Saccharomyces cerevisiae S288C: one gene and its partners. Changing the gene in region 3 together with the main gene of any one other region gives a genetic interaction. Each region holds a gene or a part of one and is shown on either strand. Other genes may lie near its edges. The genes, in order: PPN1, DGR2, HUT1 and HCS1.

Region 1 (4,381 bases), on a different chromosome or scaffold from region 3:
ACCGACTCTGAATATTCCTTACTGGCATGGACCAACCTTCCCAGAAAAGACGGTGGATTAGGTCCAGTTAAAGTTCCTTTGCTTGCTGATAAGAATCATTCCTTATCCAGAGACTATGGCGTTTTGATTGAAAAAGAAGGTATAGCTTTAAGAGGTTTGTTCATAATCGACCCGAAGGGAATCATTAGACATATCACTATCAATGATTTATCTGTTGGCAGAAACGTCAATGAAGCTTTGAGATTAGTCGAAGGTTTCCAGTGGACTGACAAAAATGGTACAGTTTTGCCATGCAACTGGACCCCAGGAGCCGCCACCATCAAACCTGACGTTAAAGATTCCAAGGAGTATTTCAAAAATGCCAATAATTAATCTTCGCACGATAACGCTAGGCCCTATTAAATAATTAAAAATACATCACCCTATATATGATAAGAAAGATGGTTTTGTATTATTATGAAATTGACTTGAAAGAATAGTGTAACAAAAGAAAAAGAAACTGTAATTGAAGAATGATATGCATTTCTATGTGTATATTAACTTAATCATCTTTATATCCAGAAGACGCAAATGACCATTCGACGTATTTTTCCCATGCAGGTTTGTTTTCGTATAATCTGCCTGCAAGATCCAAATAACTTCCTACTGTTAACGAATCCATTGAGTATGGTTTCTCGTCTGAGGTATATTCTATCTCATACCTGAAAATATCCTTAGATTCAACAAATGAATTATGTAATTCTTGATTGATTTTTTCCAAGTCGGCGTAGAATTGGACGAAACGCGTCGGAGTGAATAACTGCGGTACATATGCAGGGCCGAGTTCGTATTTGTCTGGCATCTCAATTGGCATAGTCTTGTCATTTTTCTTTTTCTTCTTGTTTTTCTTTTCGCCCATCTTCTCGCGGTTGATCCCAACCTCGATATTACTGCTGTCCATTTCATCTTCTAGCAAAGAGTCTTCCATAATCTTATTTAGTGACTCGAAAAATTCATCCCAGGGCTTATACTCCGAAACTGCAAAATTGGAGTCATTCACTATGTCGGTGATGTTATATTCCCAGATCCTAAAGGAAGGATTGAAAGTTGGAATGACTGAACCACCTATGTTCACAATGGAATAGCGTTCAATGAGCTCTTTTCTAGTGATTGGCTTTTTCTTTTTTTTGTCCTTCTTTTCTTTCTTTTTCTTCTCATTTTCAACATTTTTTTCATCCACTCTTTCCAGCTTATTCCACACTTTCCGATAGTATGTGTCGCGGACGGTGTTCATATATGCTTCTTTGTTAGATGGTTTCGCTCCCATTAAAAAAACTTCTTTTGCCGCCATAGCGTGATCCAGAATTCTATTCAATTCAGTTTCTTCGTCCTCTTCATTACTGTCTTCTCCTTGTTGAACACGAGTGGATTGCTCCATGGCTTTCAATAACGATTTTCTAGCTTTTTTACCATCCGTTGGGATGAAGTGGTCAATATTCATGTGACCGTATAATCCTCCAATGATTATATCCCTGTATTCGTGAGTCCATAGCGTGAACTTATCGTAGCACGACTGATCGAAATTTTTTGCGATTGGAGGTACATGTCCACTTAACCATACTTTCATTCCCCTACTCCTTAGTTCTTCTAATACATAACCGAACCAAAGTAAAAGTTGGTAACCTGGTTCTTTTTTTGAATTACAATTGTCAACTAACGGATTGGCCTTGAATAAGTACAGCGTGTTAATTGACAGGACAGCAAGCTTCCCTGGAATAACTTCAGTCAAAAATGAAGCACTCCTATCAAAAGTTCTTTGCTGCTGCTGCGGAACAAAATTTTTCCAAATCCTATAATATTCTCTAGTTTGTAGAGTTGGTCCTAGTGCAAACATGTTATGTGGAAAGACATCATTGTTTCCAAGACTTGGAATGACAGACACATCAAAATCTCTTGGATCTTCTTCATTGCCAGCACTAAATAATTCTGTCATTTTATCAGCAACGATATTGTTCATATCAAAAATTTGTGCTTCTGTTCTTGGATGTTTCCGGTCATTGTCATGTCTGATATTATCACCCGTCCAAATGACAAAATCAATCTTATCTCTAAGATTTTCTTTAATCCATCTCAGAGTTTCTTCCATTAAAATAACGGGAGAATCACATCCAGACATTGCCTTCCCAAACTTGGGTGCCACATCCTTTTTTTTGCTTGGTTTTCCTGTGTGACAAACTGCATCAATAGAGCTTCCTTCCACATAATAAGGGTCAGGATGAATATCGGTAATATGAAGGAACCGTCCATGTAATTTTCTCTCCTTCCCTGTCTTTACGTCTTTGATAATTACTGGCTCCCTAGGTGTCAGTCCTAGCCTTGTAAATTCTATGTCATTGAGCAATTGAAGTGACTCGTTGTCCCCCCTGTCATCTAAGAATTTGGAGAAAACGGAAACATATTGAAATTTAGCACCAATTATAAACACGAGGAAAAACAAAACACAGGTCGACAGGATGGCAATCAATGATTTCTTCTTCGGCCTACTCATGCTTACATTGCGCACTTCACTCTTACCCACTACAACCATCGAAAAGCAGCTAACTAGCTCTACCCCTACTCAATGAAAACAATAGCTGGAGACAAGGAGATCAAAAAAACTTTATAATTCTCCAACCCAACAACCAAAAAAAATATTGATCTGTTGATTTTAGCCTTCTTCTGACTTGTATTCTACCATAAAACCCTTTACACTCTCAAATGAATCTTGGTAATTAAAAGTGCAATATAACTTTAAAGGTGCTAAATTCTAATAACGACATATGTCCTCAATAGTCGGGTAATGGTCATATTTGTCCTCTACCGTACGAAGGGAGCATATTATGCATCCTGCTCGAAACGCTCAGAGAAGGGCCGCACAGGTGGGCAGATCACATTTCCTCTTTCGGCTATAAACCACGTCCTAATTTGGACATGACGCGCGCCAAAAACCCGGAATGGTAAACATCAGACGCGCTTTCCGTGCAGGGATACGTCGGTATTTTTAATATCAATGCTGAATTGGGTTAATAGCATGAGACATTTCAGCCAGATTTTTCGTTTACTCATTGTTTATTTGTTTGATCTGGATCACACAGATGAATGTTTATAAATATATATATGGCGTCCTCCCGATCTTGCCAACGTAGATTATAATTCGTATTATCTTCTTCTTTACCCTCGCCAGCCAGTGTAACTAGCATTTGTAGGGAAATAACAATAACACAAAATATCGTATATATATAACATGGAAAGCAGAAATACCGTGCTTCCTTCTTTACCAAACATTATTACAGGTACTTCTAATTCGCCTTTCCAACTGCATACTTTGCCAAATACAAACTTCCCTAGTGATGACCAAGGTGACATCAGGTTGCCACCATTAGCTGCATCTGCGCACATTGTGAGACCAGTGGTAAATATTTATAAAAGTCCTTGCGATGAGGAAAGGCCAAAAAGGAAAAGTCCACAGGCTGTGGATTTCTTATCACAACGTGTAACCACTTCCATGACGCCTTTATCCAAGCCCAAGAAGCTGAGCTCTCATTCACCATTCACGCCAACGGTCAGAGTCTGTTCTAAAGAGCAGCCACCTCAGAGTATGCACTCTTATAAAAAAGTTAATATTCTTACTCCTCTATCTGCTGCAAAGGCTGTTCTCACACCAACCACAAGAAAAGAAAAGAAAAGGTCATTTGCCTTTATTACACACTCACAGGAAACTTTTCCAAAGAAGGAGCCTAAGATAGACAATGCTCGGTTAGCTCGTCGGAAAAGAAGAAGAACTTCATCATATGAGCTTGGGATATTGCAAACAGCATTTGACGAATGTCCCACGCCCAATAAGGCTAAAAGGATAGAGTTATCCGAGCAATGTAATATGTCCGAAAAATCGGTTCAAATATGGTTTCAGAACAAAAGGCAGGCTGCTAAAAAGCACAAGAACAGTGGCAACACCAGCCATTGCAAAGTTCACTCTAATGATTCGATGTCTATGATATCTTACTCAGACGCTGCGTTGGAAATTACCTCTACGCCAACGAGTACGAAGGAGGCTATTACTGCAGAGTTGCTGAAAACTTCACCTGCCAATACGTCCTCGATCTTCGAAGACCACCACATAACGCCTTGCAAGCCCGGCGGACAGCTCAAGTTCCACAGGAAATCTGTGCTTGTTAAGAGAACATTATCAAATACCGGTCATAGCGAGATTATCAAAAGTCCTAAAGGCAAGGAAAACCGCCTAAAGTTCAATGCATACGAAAGAAAACCCCTTGGGGAGGTCGATCTCAATTCTTTCAAAAACTAATCTTTCTCAGTGTTTATTTTCTTGAGCACTGATGCTATCAATATTAACAAAAACTAC
Region 2 (4,670 bases), on a different chromosome or scaffold from region 3:
GAGTTCTGGAGTGGGGGCATTATGGAAGAAGAAAGTATATCTTAATGTTGCATATAATCACATAGTTTATATATATGCAGTATTTATCATTTGACGACTTAGTCACAGCTTGAAATTTCAGCGGTGCTTAATGTTCGTTTTCTTTTTTTTTTTTTTTTCCGCAACAGAAGGCCGATTCCGCTGTAACTTAATGAGGTATTAAATGCCAGATTCGTTTTCGTGACCTCCTTTAGCATATCGGCAGACCCTGACTCGCAACTGGAATAACACCACATGCGAACAAAAGCATATTTTTGCCCTACTTAATTTGAGAGTGGAAAATCTTTCCTCGATTTCATTTTTCTTATAGCCCAATTGACGTCTCTGTAGGCCCTAATAGACCCCATCGGCCTAAGACCGTTTCCGGCATCTTTCGGGTTGTAGATGGTTCTGTGAGAAAATGTGTCAGTAATGAAAAATAATAAAGATCGCTACAGATATAAATAATAATACTATGTTATTTGCAGACATGCTTATGATCTAAAGACGGTGGAACAGATAGTTTTTCCTCTTACTTTCTGATTCTCTATCTGAAATTATTGAGGATTGTACCACAATCAGCACACGTGAAACCGCTATCACCGCCAGCAATGGGGTTTTTGGAAGCACATTCAAAATTAGATCCATTGCAGACGTCACATTTCAACTTCGGATAAGTGGTAGAAACTCTCGGAATATCATGCGGTCCAAACACCGTGGAGCTCGTACTTTCACTTCTTGACTTTAGGGATATAAAACTTCCATTGGATTTATTAAAGATCGAATTCTTGAAAATAGCACTAGCTCTTGATGGCATGCCGGAAATCACCGGGCTATTATTAGGATGCAGCTCACAAAAATCGTGGCTTGGCCTACTATTGTGCGTGTTAGATGGTGGGGTTGTGCTAAACTCATTATCCTCTGTGGAACTTCTTTCATCCATTCTATTTTCCAATATGCTGTCATTGTTGTGGTTGTTGATTTTACCAGCAGCTTCGAGGTGGAATAAATTGTATTCATGGAACTTTTCTATTATTTTTTTTCGTATTTCCGGTAAGATATCAGTTCTGAAAACACGGATTAGACCTTGACTGTCTGTTGTTATTAGAATGGTTCCAACATTATTCACAACGTTCGATAGGTTTGAGCTGAATCCTCCTGTTTCTGTAACTGGGTGATTAGGTTTGTTATCACATGTTTCCTTAGATTCTGAATAATTTTGGCCCATTTCTTTGAAGTACTGTGAAGTCAGTTCGAAAATCAAATCGTTTGACAAGGACAAATTTTTAATTGCAACGTCGGGAGCAATGGAAGCACATGTGACAGGGGAGTTATGGGCATGAAATGATATATAATGATTGTTTTTGATAGCTTGAGAACCAACAGTTTGAGTTTGAAGAACATTTTTTGATGAGTTGGTAAATGTGTGTGAGCTGCTTTGGTTTGACGTTTCTGTCAAACATTCATCATTCGTACTCTTATTAGATACAATTCTCAACAGCCCTTTTAAACTCATACTGCCGCTCAGCCGTTTCTTTCTATGCGGAGCAGTGCAATTCATTTCTGCTGAAAGATTAAAGGACTGCATTTTCCAGGTATAAAACCAATGATCATCACTTCCCGTGAAAACTACAGGTTCATTTTTCATCATTAGGAATTGGCCTCTATGACGTGAGGAACCACTTTGGAATCCTTTAAAAAGCTCTAAAGGTTTTTTTTCATTTAAATCAAAGATTTGAATTTTTGAATCATTTGTCGTAACTATCAATCTTAAATTTTTGTCCACCTTAGAAAAGAAGCATTGTAAACCCGTGATTCGAGGGCCGTGTTGGACCTTTCCATATTCGGAAGATGGATGAAAGCTATTCTTAGTGGTTCCTTGAGTGCTTTTATCAGATACATGGAATGAAGATACAAATTTTAATCCATGTGTCAGTAAAACATAAATGTATCCATTGAATGTACCGATAATTGTATATTCCCCACCAGGAGGAGATAATGTTAGGGATGTTATCAAATCTTTGCAATCAAAGGCATAAGAAACCTCATTGTCCAGTATAGACCACAGTCTACACCTGTGATCTAAGCATCCGGTAATTATGAAACGATCATCATTGGGAAAAAATATTGCGGATGTAACAAAATCTGGGTGAACAAAAGTTTTCAATGAGTATTTCCTCTCAGGGTGCCATAGTTTTGCAGTTTTGTCCATTGATGCTGTTATTAGAAATCCATTTTTGGACCAGTTTGCATCCAAAATATCTAAAGCGTGCTCCATAAAAACCCTAAACACATCAGAATAGAAAACCGGTGCGTATAAATGTAATTGTTTGGAAGGTCCTTCAAACTGGTCGCTCGGCTTCAAATCATTACTTGATATGGAGCCGTTATGAGAACTAATGCTCGCCAAATGTCTTTGAATCTTTAGTGAGTTTGCTCTAGAGGCACTGACTGACTTTTCTGAGCGTCCCATTTCGGATCTCTTAACTGGTGAGTTTATGACTTTCCAAAGATGCAAAGAGCCATCTTTACAACCAATAACCATATACTTACCATCATGACTGAACGTACAGCAGCATATTGAATTCTTGAATAGCTCTGAATTAGCAACTGCAGGTTCTCCCTGGTAGGTTGTAGATTTGTAAACGTCGGGAATTTTCAACTCTTGAGCTAAGAACATTCTATCAAACTGTTCTAATCCTTCCTTTTTTTTAAATATTTTAATATATGTGGGTTCTTCGAGATAGTTTTCGAAATATTTCCTATCGAATAGGTCGAAATACCATCGGTCATTCTCACTGAGTTTATTGTACCCATTTGAAACCACTGAGTTTCTGTGAAGTGTTTTTCTCAGCCTCGTGCCGTAGTCTATATTATCAATGAACCTTAATTGAGCAGGAATTATATCGGCAGAGTAGCCTCCATCATATCTAGAAGAGCTTCTTTTTGAATCTGCAATAGAGGAATGTCGGCTCCTGTCGCCTGGTATGTTCAAATGTTTCGTTTGGCTCTTTTCTTTGGGATTTACAGGGGTTGCATTGCGATCACCCTCGTTGGAGTTCGGGGTTTCATCATAGCTTAAAGTGCTTGTTTTCGACTTGAACATTTCACAGGCTCCTACTGCACAAATAGTAATTCTACGTTGGTAAGGATTAAAACGGTACTGAGTAATAGTGCAATTGACGTCTTCGACGGCTAGCGCTTGTAAACTTTCCTTGTTTTTGTCGCACCGTTAAAATAAAGATCTTGTTCAAGTCAGCTCCTTCTTAGAATAGCGGAAGACGTTTACTAAAGTCAGTATATGCCTGTAAGTTGCCTGTTAGTTGTTTTCAAAATTTCTTCCTGCTTGACGCAAATACCCTTTTTATGAAAACTCTTTTACGCATTTTGAATTATTAGCGGTACATTAAAACGGACTTTTCATTCCGTATTGGCGGTTATGCTAAATAAAGAAAAGAAGGCACCTAAACAAACCCAAAAATGCTTTCACAGGAATCATCACACCAATATGGCGCATACTATCTGAGAGACTGTTTCAAAATAGTAAATAATTGAGAGTTTTTTTTGCGGCAATTACATCTTTTTAAATATTTAGTTATTGAATGATTAAATTAGAAGGATTGATCATAAACAACACAAGAGAAACAAAGAGTATGGGGGATAATTAGTACTTTCATTTCTTTACCTGTGTACGGCAAAAAATATAAAAGGGCACTTCCATCAGATACACCACTAGTGATAGACTGACGGTTTCCCCTACCTTTTACAAGTCACTTCCCGTACACCATTATCAACATTAAATGACGCCTGAACATTTATTATTTGCAAACATCATGCTTTGATCTTTGAATACTTGATAATCATGCTTTGATAGATGTGGAAGCAATTCGGTAGAAAAGTTTCCTCACCCCAGTATTTTCTCAGTGCAAAGAGTTTGTCATTACCACACTAGCTAATGAAAGCCTCAATTCGTCCAGCTGAAAAAGATACGTCTGCATACTAGTAAATGGAACCGGATGAGCACAAATACAGATTATTAATGTCAATAACAATGACAATAGTTCCGCTATTTGCGTCACTTTTTACTTATGGCAGAAGGCAGGGTAAGCCGCACCACTCTTGAAAAGTTAAGAACTGACTATTTTCGCGAGAACAATGCTAAAAGTTTCAATTGTGCTGTCTTCGATTGACCCAAATAAAAGAGCTTCCCTCCGCGAGCAAATTAACAGACCTAATTGAACTGGAAAACATGTCTGTGAAACCCATTGACAACTACATCACGAACAGTGTTCGCCTTTTTGAGGTGAATCCATCTCAAACGCTCTTCTCCATATCGTATAAACCACCAACACAGAAGACAGACACCAAAGTGTCCTTTAGAACTCATAACTCGCATTTATCCTTGAACTATAAATTTACTACTAATAAGAGTAAAGATGTTTCAAGATTACTTAGTGCATTAGGCCCACGAGGCGTATCTATAACTCCAGGTAAAATTGAAAAAATAGCACAGTCGAAGAAGAAAAATAACAAAATAAAAGAATCGAGTAAAAAAATAAAAGGTAAGAGCATCCAAGACATTGTTGGTTTAGCCACCTTAATTGTCAACACAGATGTCGAAAAGAGCGATCCTGCGGCTAAGAAAACTGCTA
Region 3 (3,222 bases):
ATGTAGGATGCTATCTACTTACGATTTTCCCTATCGCTTGGACGGAAAAGACTATTACGTTGAATGTGGTGACAATTTCAAAGTTCGCTGGGATCGCTATACTCCACGTGAAGTGACGCCTTGGAGTGAGCGTTGCGACACGATTGATGAGGTAGGTAGTGTGTATACTATCCAAGGGTTTGATCTGAATTATGCTGGTGTAATTTTGGGCCGTTCCATTGGGTATGATGCGGCTAATGACTGCATCAAACTAAGACCAGAGCTGTATGACGATAGGGCCGGTTTCACCAAAAAGAAAAACATTCACAATGCAGAGGACGTTAAGCAAAAGATTATTATGAATAGCATTAATGTCCTCTTAACTCGTGGCGTGCGTGGTCTGTATGTTTATGCATACGATCCTGAATTAAGAGAGAGACTGCTTCGTCCATCAAAAAAATAGGAAGTACATAGTATAGACAAATTTTATAAATATTAACTTTTATTTGTTGCGATCTTCACTAATCTACGCAGATTTTGCCTTCGGTATATTAGCCTTCTTCTTGTTGAGTGCTTCCCAAGTGATTCCACCAAATACTATAAACATCCCCACCCATTGCTGGAAACGTACACTCTTACCGAAGACAATAATACTCAAAATCATCGAGACCATTTTCCTGGTGACTGTTATCATGATCAAAACTAAAGAGCCAAATTGTTCTAGAGTATAGAAAATAAAGCATTGTCCCATAGCGCCACAGAACGAATAAAGCATTAAATAGCCCCACACTTGTGGGTCCATCGTCAATACAGAAACGGCATTATCCCATTGTTTGCAGTCGATCACAATAAAATACAAAATATTCCACAATATCACGAAGAGGTTCAGTGTAAACATCAAGTGTGCACCTGTTATCAAAGTTTGTTTTCCCTTTTCTTTGGCCTTATTGGCCTTTAGTAGCTTATCTTGGGTGGCGTTGGTCAATCCATCAAGGAATAAACTAGAGAAAAGTAGTCCAAACCCTTGTAATTTGTTATCATTTCCGCTCTCATTAAAGGATCTCTTCAACTTTTTACCATCGTTGCCACCTATAGTGAAAATAGTGACACCGAGACTTACCAAGAGAGCTACAACTTTTTTTTGGCTTGCTATGGGCGTCCTATACAAAAGCAAATGCACCAACAACACGGGGATCATCTTGCATGACTTTGCTAACATGTAAGTGAGATAATCCACGTGCTTTAAAGAAGTTGTAGCCAGCGGGCCTGAACTACTCTGTGTAAATGATATCAACATCAATTGTTTCCAATGATCTTTAATCATTTTTCTGGGCGGATATTCCACCTTCTTCCAGTTTAAGTACAGGTAGCCCATCATCATTGCCACAGAAGCTTGTATGAGGGATATTACATTAGGGAATTGAAACTTTCCCATGGAGTTTGGCCAGGTTCTTGTAGCCAAAGGCTCCTGTACTAATGCCCACGTCAAAAAAGTAGCATATATACCAATCGCACAGATCACCAAACTGGATGTACTTCCCGCCATACAAATATACGAATACTGCCTTGTTTACTTCTTCTTGTTACGTTGTAATTCTGGTTCTAATTACATTGCTGTCATTTTTTCATGTTCGATGGGATCTACAAAACAACCTTTAGAAGCGATCTCAGGGAAGCTTTGGAAGAGAAACAGCTGATGATTCTGGCATTCCACAAACTACAACAACGAACCAAACGACATATTCCATTGCAGTGATTTGATTGGGAGTAAGCTTTTATAAACGAGCAGACCAATATGATTTACGTAGTATTTCGTTGTCTTTACCACATCGTTGTTCGTGATAAGTTCTGAAAATTTTTTTTGGAGTATATTTGCTAGAGTTAATCCAACAATATTAGCATAAACGAGCAGCTGGAGACTAGGTTATTTGAATTATTTGAGCATCAAAGTGATCAATTGTATTATATTACAGTGTAATTTTCTTTTTTTCCATATTGAATCAAAAACTAGCCACGCTTGAAACTAAAGATGGTTGCCTATTCTCCAATCATTGCCACCTATGGTAATCGTGCAGAACAGTTTTTAGAAACAGACTCAGACTTCGCTAAGTATCATGCGAAATTGAATAAAAAGTTGCAACACTTGAGGAGCCGTTGCCATTTGGTCACCAAGGATACAAAGAAATACTCAAGTAAAAATAAGTATGGCGAAATTAACTCCGAGGATTATGATAATAAAACTAAATTGATTGGTGTTTTGATTTTACTACACGCTGAAAGGGACTTGGCACTGGCTGAAACTTTGAAATTGAGAGCTCGTCAAAGAGGAAAGTTAAAGAAAAGTGAAGAAAAGGTTTTATCCACAAGATTGAAGAAGGCCTGCAAGACTGCTGATAAATTGGTTAACGTCACTCAAAATGAACAGCAATGGATAACTCGTGCCCAATATTTAGCGTTCGCTAAATTGGTACATTCAGAGTACCTAATTAATGGAAAAAGGTTCAAGAGGAAGGACAATGCCAAAATTTCGAACAACCTAGCCCTCGTTTTCGCCGCATTGGAACACTTGAAGAATCTAAGCTTATTAGCTGAAGAAGTTGTAGATAACATTGTTAATAAATACCAGTACTCTCTCAAGCAGTACGCGGGAAATTTAATTACAACGCCCGAAATAAATAACTTTATCGTGGAAAGAGTTCAATCTGATGAGAACAAGGACGATGAGCTTGTGAAATTGTTATTAGACAATGGATTCAATATGAAAAAAATTACAACCTCAACTGAAGATCAAAAGGTTACCACTAACATAAACTGGAGATCTTTCAACGCCAAGATAATCGATGCTGAAGTTGCTCAATTTTTGGAACAAGGTCTATCTATCCACCCAACTCAGATTACTCAATATACACAGAGGCTATCAAAATTGGAGAAAGCTTTAGACCGTCATGAATTTTTCATCGCAAACCACGACGATCAAGATGACATAGACGAGATGGTTGAAAATAGTTCTGAAAACAATCAGATAATTTTAGCCTACATTAAATATAATATTCTTTTGACCTCTATATCTCGTGAAAGAGATTTGTTTACTCATTTATGGAATCAATGGCTGAAATTAAATACTTCATTACCATCGAAGTTAACCAAATATAAAGAAATGGAACGTATTGTGAAGAATTTGACAAAATATTTATCGGACATAATGGAGCTACCTGGTGTGTATTCAGATGACGAGCTGCTAAG
Region 4 (4,570 bases), on a different chromosome or scaffold from region 3:
CCCAAATAATGTCATTGAAGAAGATCCAACAAAATAATGGAATCCATTGTGAGATTCTATGAGCCTACCACTTCTTTGAGCAAAATTTGTTGATATTTCTTCATCATCTTCATCATCATCCTCATGACCATTGGCACCGTTGCCATTTTCGCCATTAGCATTAGCTGGTTGTTTAAAGATGCTGATGGCCTTTTTGTAGTATTTTTCCAAACTATGATCATAGCTCCTATTATTTGTGATTCTGTTGCTGTTGTCATCGTCGTTATCGTTATCGGACGCAGTGTTACTATTGGACATGAGGTCAAATATAGGAGCCGCCGGAGCGCTGGATACTTCCAATGTGTCACTTGAGGGTGCATTGTTTATATGCCTCTCGTCATCATCGCTGTTATCCTTACCACGTACACTCACTGGTCTCTCCAAGAGCAAAGCTTTCAGGCGGTTATTCTCTTCAGTTTTATCATTCAAGTCTTTTTGCAGTTGTTGCAGATACTTTGTCGACACAACAATTTTTTTTGACGGCTCCAAGTACTCACATATGGCATTGCTCGTAACACATTTTTGGCAAGGGTTACCACCAGGACATTTTATATGACGTTTCCTACAAGAAAGGCATGCGACAGAAGATCTCTGCTGCCTTTTTTGCGGTTGTTTATTAACGTAGGCTGGTTGCTTAGATTGTATCGAATGCCTACTGCCTTGGTCGGTCACCATTAAACTCGTTAAGATCACTGCAATTATCCTATCAATGAGTTAGTTGGACCAGTGTCGTATTTATCGTTATTGTAATGGTTACTTACTAATTGCTGCTTAGAAAGCTTTAAATTGCCGCCGAAGTCAAGTATATCATCAAGCACCTGGTGGATGTTTTCATTTTTACTCCAATATTCGCCACCTCATTGCCGCGGAGAAATATCGTTTATAATGACATATCCGATGACTCAATCCCATAAACGAGGTATGGGTGTATATCACGTGATATATTATGCTCACGTGATGACCACGTGACTAATGAGCGGGTTACAAGAATTATTTTCTCTTCGATTTGATTGGATATTTGTCTTGATGCCCCCAAAAAAGTAAAAGATACACCAATTACCACTTGCTGCTTAGCGTAGGTGTAAAACATATTTCTACTAGTACAATACTTTTCTATATAAGTTTATATATTCATATTGACACGTAACGCAAAAGAACAATCTTAGGATTTAAAAGAAATTTTTCGTGCACTTAATTGCAGAATCACCTAATTATATTTTTGTTCGACTATGTCTTTGGCCAAATCCGCTGCTAACAAACTTGACTGGGCAAAAGTCATCTCTTCTCTACGTATAACAGGGTCGACTGCCACTCAATTATCGAGTTTTAAAAAGAGAAACGATGAGGCACGTAGACAATTACTAGAGCTGCAAAGTCAACCCACCGAAGTAGATTTCAGTCATTATAGATCTGTGTTGAAAAACACTTCAGTCATTGACAAGATAGAATCATACGTTAAGCAATATAAGCCGGTCAAAATCGATGCCTCCAAACAATTACAAGTGATTGAGTCTTTTGAAAAGCACGCAATGACCAACGCCAAGGAGACAGAATCCTTAGTTTCCAAGGAGTTAAAGGATTTGCAAAGCACCTTAGATAATATTCAATCTGCAAGACCTTTCGATGAATTAACTGTTGACGACCTGACAAAGATCAAACCTGAAATTGATGCTAAGGTAGAAGAGATGGTCAAGAAGGGTAAATGGGACGTACCTGGTTACAAGGACAGATTCGGCAATTTGAATGTGATGTAGTACCCTTTACCTCTATATATTACGCACCATATTCTATTATTTTTTTCACAGGTTTATATAACTGGCAAATATTATAATTAAACATTCTTACTGTCATATATACACAAATGTGCGCCTGCATATCCTTACGCTAAGAAAATCTTGTACGTTACATATATTTCAAAAATATGAAGGCTGATGTAAAGTTGTCTCTTGAGAAATATAGAAAAAAGAGTAGAGGGAAATGAACAAAGAATTGGCTTCTAAGTTTTTATCAAGCATCAAGCATGAACGTGAACAAGACATTCAAACAACTTCTAGGCTATTAACAACGCTATCTATCCAACAATTGGTGCAAAATGGCTTGGCAATAAACAACATACATCTAGAAAACATAAGATCCGGTCTCATTGGCAAATTATATATGGAACTGGGACCTAACTTGGCGGTTAACGACAAAATTCAAAGGGGTGATATTAAGGTTGGTGATATTGTTTTGGTACGCCCTGCAAAAACCAAAGTAAATACCAAGACTAAGCCCAAAGTCAAAAAGGTGTCTGAAGACTCCAATGGCGAGCAAGCGGAATGCTCAGGCGTTGTCTACAAAATGAGTGATACTCAAATCACCATAGCTCTAGAAGAATCTCAAGATGTTATTGCTACCACATTTTATTCTTATAGCAAACTTTACATTTTAAAGACTACCAATGTCGTCACGTATAATAGAATGGAATCCACAATGAGAAAACTGTCTGAAATTAGTTCACCCATACAAGACAAAATTATACAATACTTGGTAAACGAACGCCCCTTCATCCCCAATACAAACAGCTTTCAAAACATTAAATCTTTTTTAAACCCGAATCTGAATGACTCCCAGAAAACTGCCATTAATTTTGCCATTAACAATGACTTGACCATTATACATGGTCCTCCTGGTACGGGTAAAACATTCACATTAATTGAATTGATCCAGCAATTGCTAATTAAAAATCCTGAGGAGAGAATCTTAATTTGTGGGCCTTCCAATATTTCTGTGGATACGATTCTGGAGAGGCTAACGCCTCTTGTGCCGAATAATTTATTATTAAGAATCGGTCATCCTGCTAGGCTATTAGACTCTAATAAAAGACACTCTCTTGATATACTTAGTAAAAAGAATACTATTGTGAAGGACATTTCCCAGGAGATTGACAAATTAATTCAGGAGAATAAAAAACTAAAAAACTATAAGCAACGTAAAGAAAACTGGAACGAAATTAAACTGCTGCGCAAAGATTTAAAGAAAAGAGAGTTCAAAACCATTAAGGACTTAATAATACAATCGAGAATAGTCGTCACCACTTTACACGGTTCATCATCGAGAGAACTATGCTCCCTTTATAGAGATGATCCAAATTTCCAGCTTTTCGATACCTTGATCATCGATGAAGTCTCACAGGCCATGGAACCACAATGCTGGATCCCACTAATTGCACATCAAAATCAGTTCCACAAACTAGTCCTTGCTGGTGACAATAAACAATTGCCACCCACAATCAAAACAGAAGACGACAAAAATGTCATTCACAATTTGGAAACCACACTATTTGACAGAATAATCAAAATATTCCCGAAAAGGGATATGGTAAAATTTCTTAACGTTCAATACAGGATGAATCAAAAAATTATGGAATTTCCATCGCACTCAATGTATAATGGGAAACTATTGGCCGATGCAACGGTCGCGAACAGACTTTTGATAGACCTACCGACCGTCGATGCTACGCCATCTGAGGATGATGACGATACAAAAATTCCTTTAATTTGGTATGATACGCAAGGTGATGAATTTCAAGAGACTGCAGATGAAGCTACTATCCTTGGATCTAAGTATAATGAGGGCGAAATTGCCATTGTAAAAGAACACATTGAGAATTTAAGGTCATTCAACGTCCCGGAGAACTCTATAGGTGTTATTTCTCCATACAATGCACAAGTTTCTCATCTGAAAAAATTGATCCATGATGAATTAAAATTAACTGATATTGAAATATCAACTGTAGATGGGTTCCAGGGCCGTGAAAAAGATGTTATCATATTGAGTTTAGTTCGTAGCAATGAAAAATTTGAAGTTGGTTTCCTTAAGGAAGAACGAAGACTGAACGTCGCCATGACAAGACCCAGAAGGCAACTAGTTGTTGTTGGCAATATAGAAGTTCTGCAAAGGTGCGGTAACAAGTACCTAAAAAGTTGGTCAGAATGGTGTGAAGAGAACGCTGACGTAAGGTACCCCAACATTGACGATTATTTGTAAAGAATACACAAGATGTATAGAGTATACGTCGTTATACAGTAGGTAAAAAATGTTCGTTATATATTATATCCTCTAGTATATCAATGCAGTAGCAGCAGTCATTCATCGTACACGTAAAAATCTACTGTTTCGTCTGCGGTAACAAACATCGAATATTTAGGGTTGAATGCAATTGACCTGGGGCAGGTCTCATGAGAAACACAGGGAATGAACCCTTGCGGCCTTAATACTTTGTTACTTATTGAATCAGAATGATTCCAAATGGCAATCCTACCGTCATAATCGGTTCCAAGGACGAATTCACCATCTGGTGTGAAACAAGCAGATCCAGAATCTAGAAATTCTCTCATCGGGAAGGCCCTTGTTCCTATTAGTTCGAATAATTGTTGACCTGTGAATGCGTCAAAAATTAAATGCTTTCCTATCGAGGAGCCAACTAATAAATACTTTCCATTGTTAGAAAATTCTAATTTATTCCATTGACTGAAAGTCGCATCATTAA

The links.
Region 1: mutations in HUT1 (region 3) and PPN1 together harm fitness more than expected from each alone (negative genetic interaction), as found in Saccharomyces cerevisiae (one large-scale study listed by BioGRID).
Region 2: mutations in HUT1 (region 3) and DGR2 together harm fitness more than expected from each alone (negative genetic interaction), as found in Saccharomyces cerevisiae (one large-scale study listed by BioGRID).
Region 4: mutations in HUT1 (region 3) and HCS1 together harm fitness more than expected from each alone (negative genetic interaction), as found in Saccharomyces cerevisiae (one large-scale study listed by BioGRID).

What each region holds. Positions count from the first base shown.
Region 1 is NC_001136.10:1,361,063-1,365,443, reverse strand, and holds PPN1 (endopolyphosphatase), read right to left. Parts: upstream 2,567-4,381; coding exon 542-2,566; downstream 1-541. Other genes in the region: thioredoxin peroxidase TSA2, read left to right, coding at 1-372; YHP1 (Yhp1p), read left to right, coding at 3,263-4,324. UniProt on the Saccharomyces cerevisiae protein: Catalyzes the hydrolysis of inorganic polyphosphate (polyP) chains of many hundreds of phosphate residues into shorter lengths.
Region 2 is NC_001143.9:212,596-217,265, reverse strand, and holds DGR2 (Dgr2p), read right to left. Parts: upstream 3,125-4,670; coding exon 566-3,124; downstream 1-565. Other genes in the region: signal recognition particle subunit SRP21, read left to right, coding at 4,268-4,670.
Region 3 is NC_001148.4:86,509-89,730, forward strand, and holds HUT1 (UDP-galactose transporter HUT1), read right to left. Parts: upstream 1,526-3,222; coding exon 506-1,525; downstream 1-505. Other genes in the region: YPL245W (uncharacterized protein), read left to right, coding at 1-442; signal recognition particle subunit SRP68, read left to right, coding at 2,009-3,222. UniProt on the Saccharomyces cerevisiae protein: May be involved in specific transport of UDP-Gal from the cytosol to the Golgi lumen. Involved in the maintenance of optimal conditions for the folding of secretory pathway proteins in the endoplasmic reticulum.
Region 4 is NC_001143.9:404,688-409,257, reverse strand, and holds HCS1 (ATP-dependent 5'-3' DNA helicase HCS1), read left to right. Parts: upstream 1-2,016; coding exon 2,017-4,068; downstream 4,069-4,570. Other genes in the region: PUT3 (Put3p), read right to left, coding at 1-714; ATP7 (F1F0 ATP synthase subunit d), read left to right, coding at 1,269-1,793; WD-repeat containing protein SWD2, read right to left, coding at 4,167-4,570. UniProt on the Saccharomyces cerevisiae protein: DNA polymerase alpha-associated DNA helicase which may be involved in DNA replication.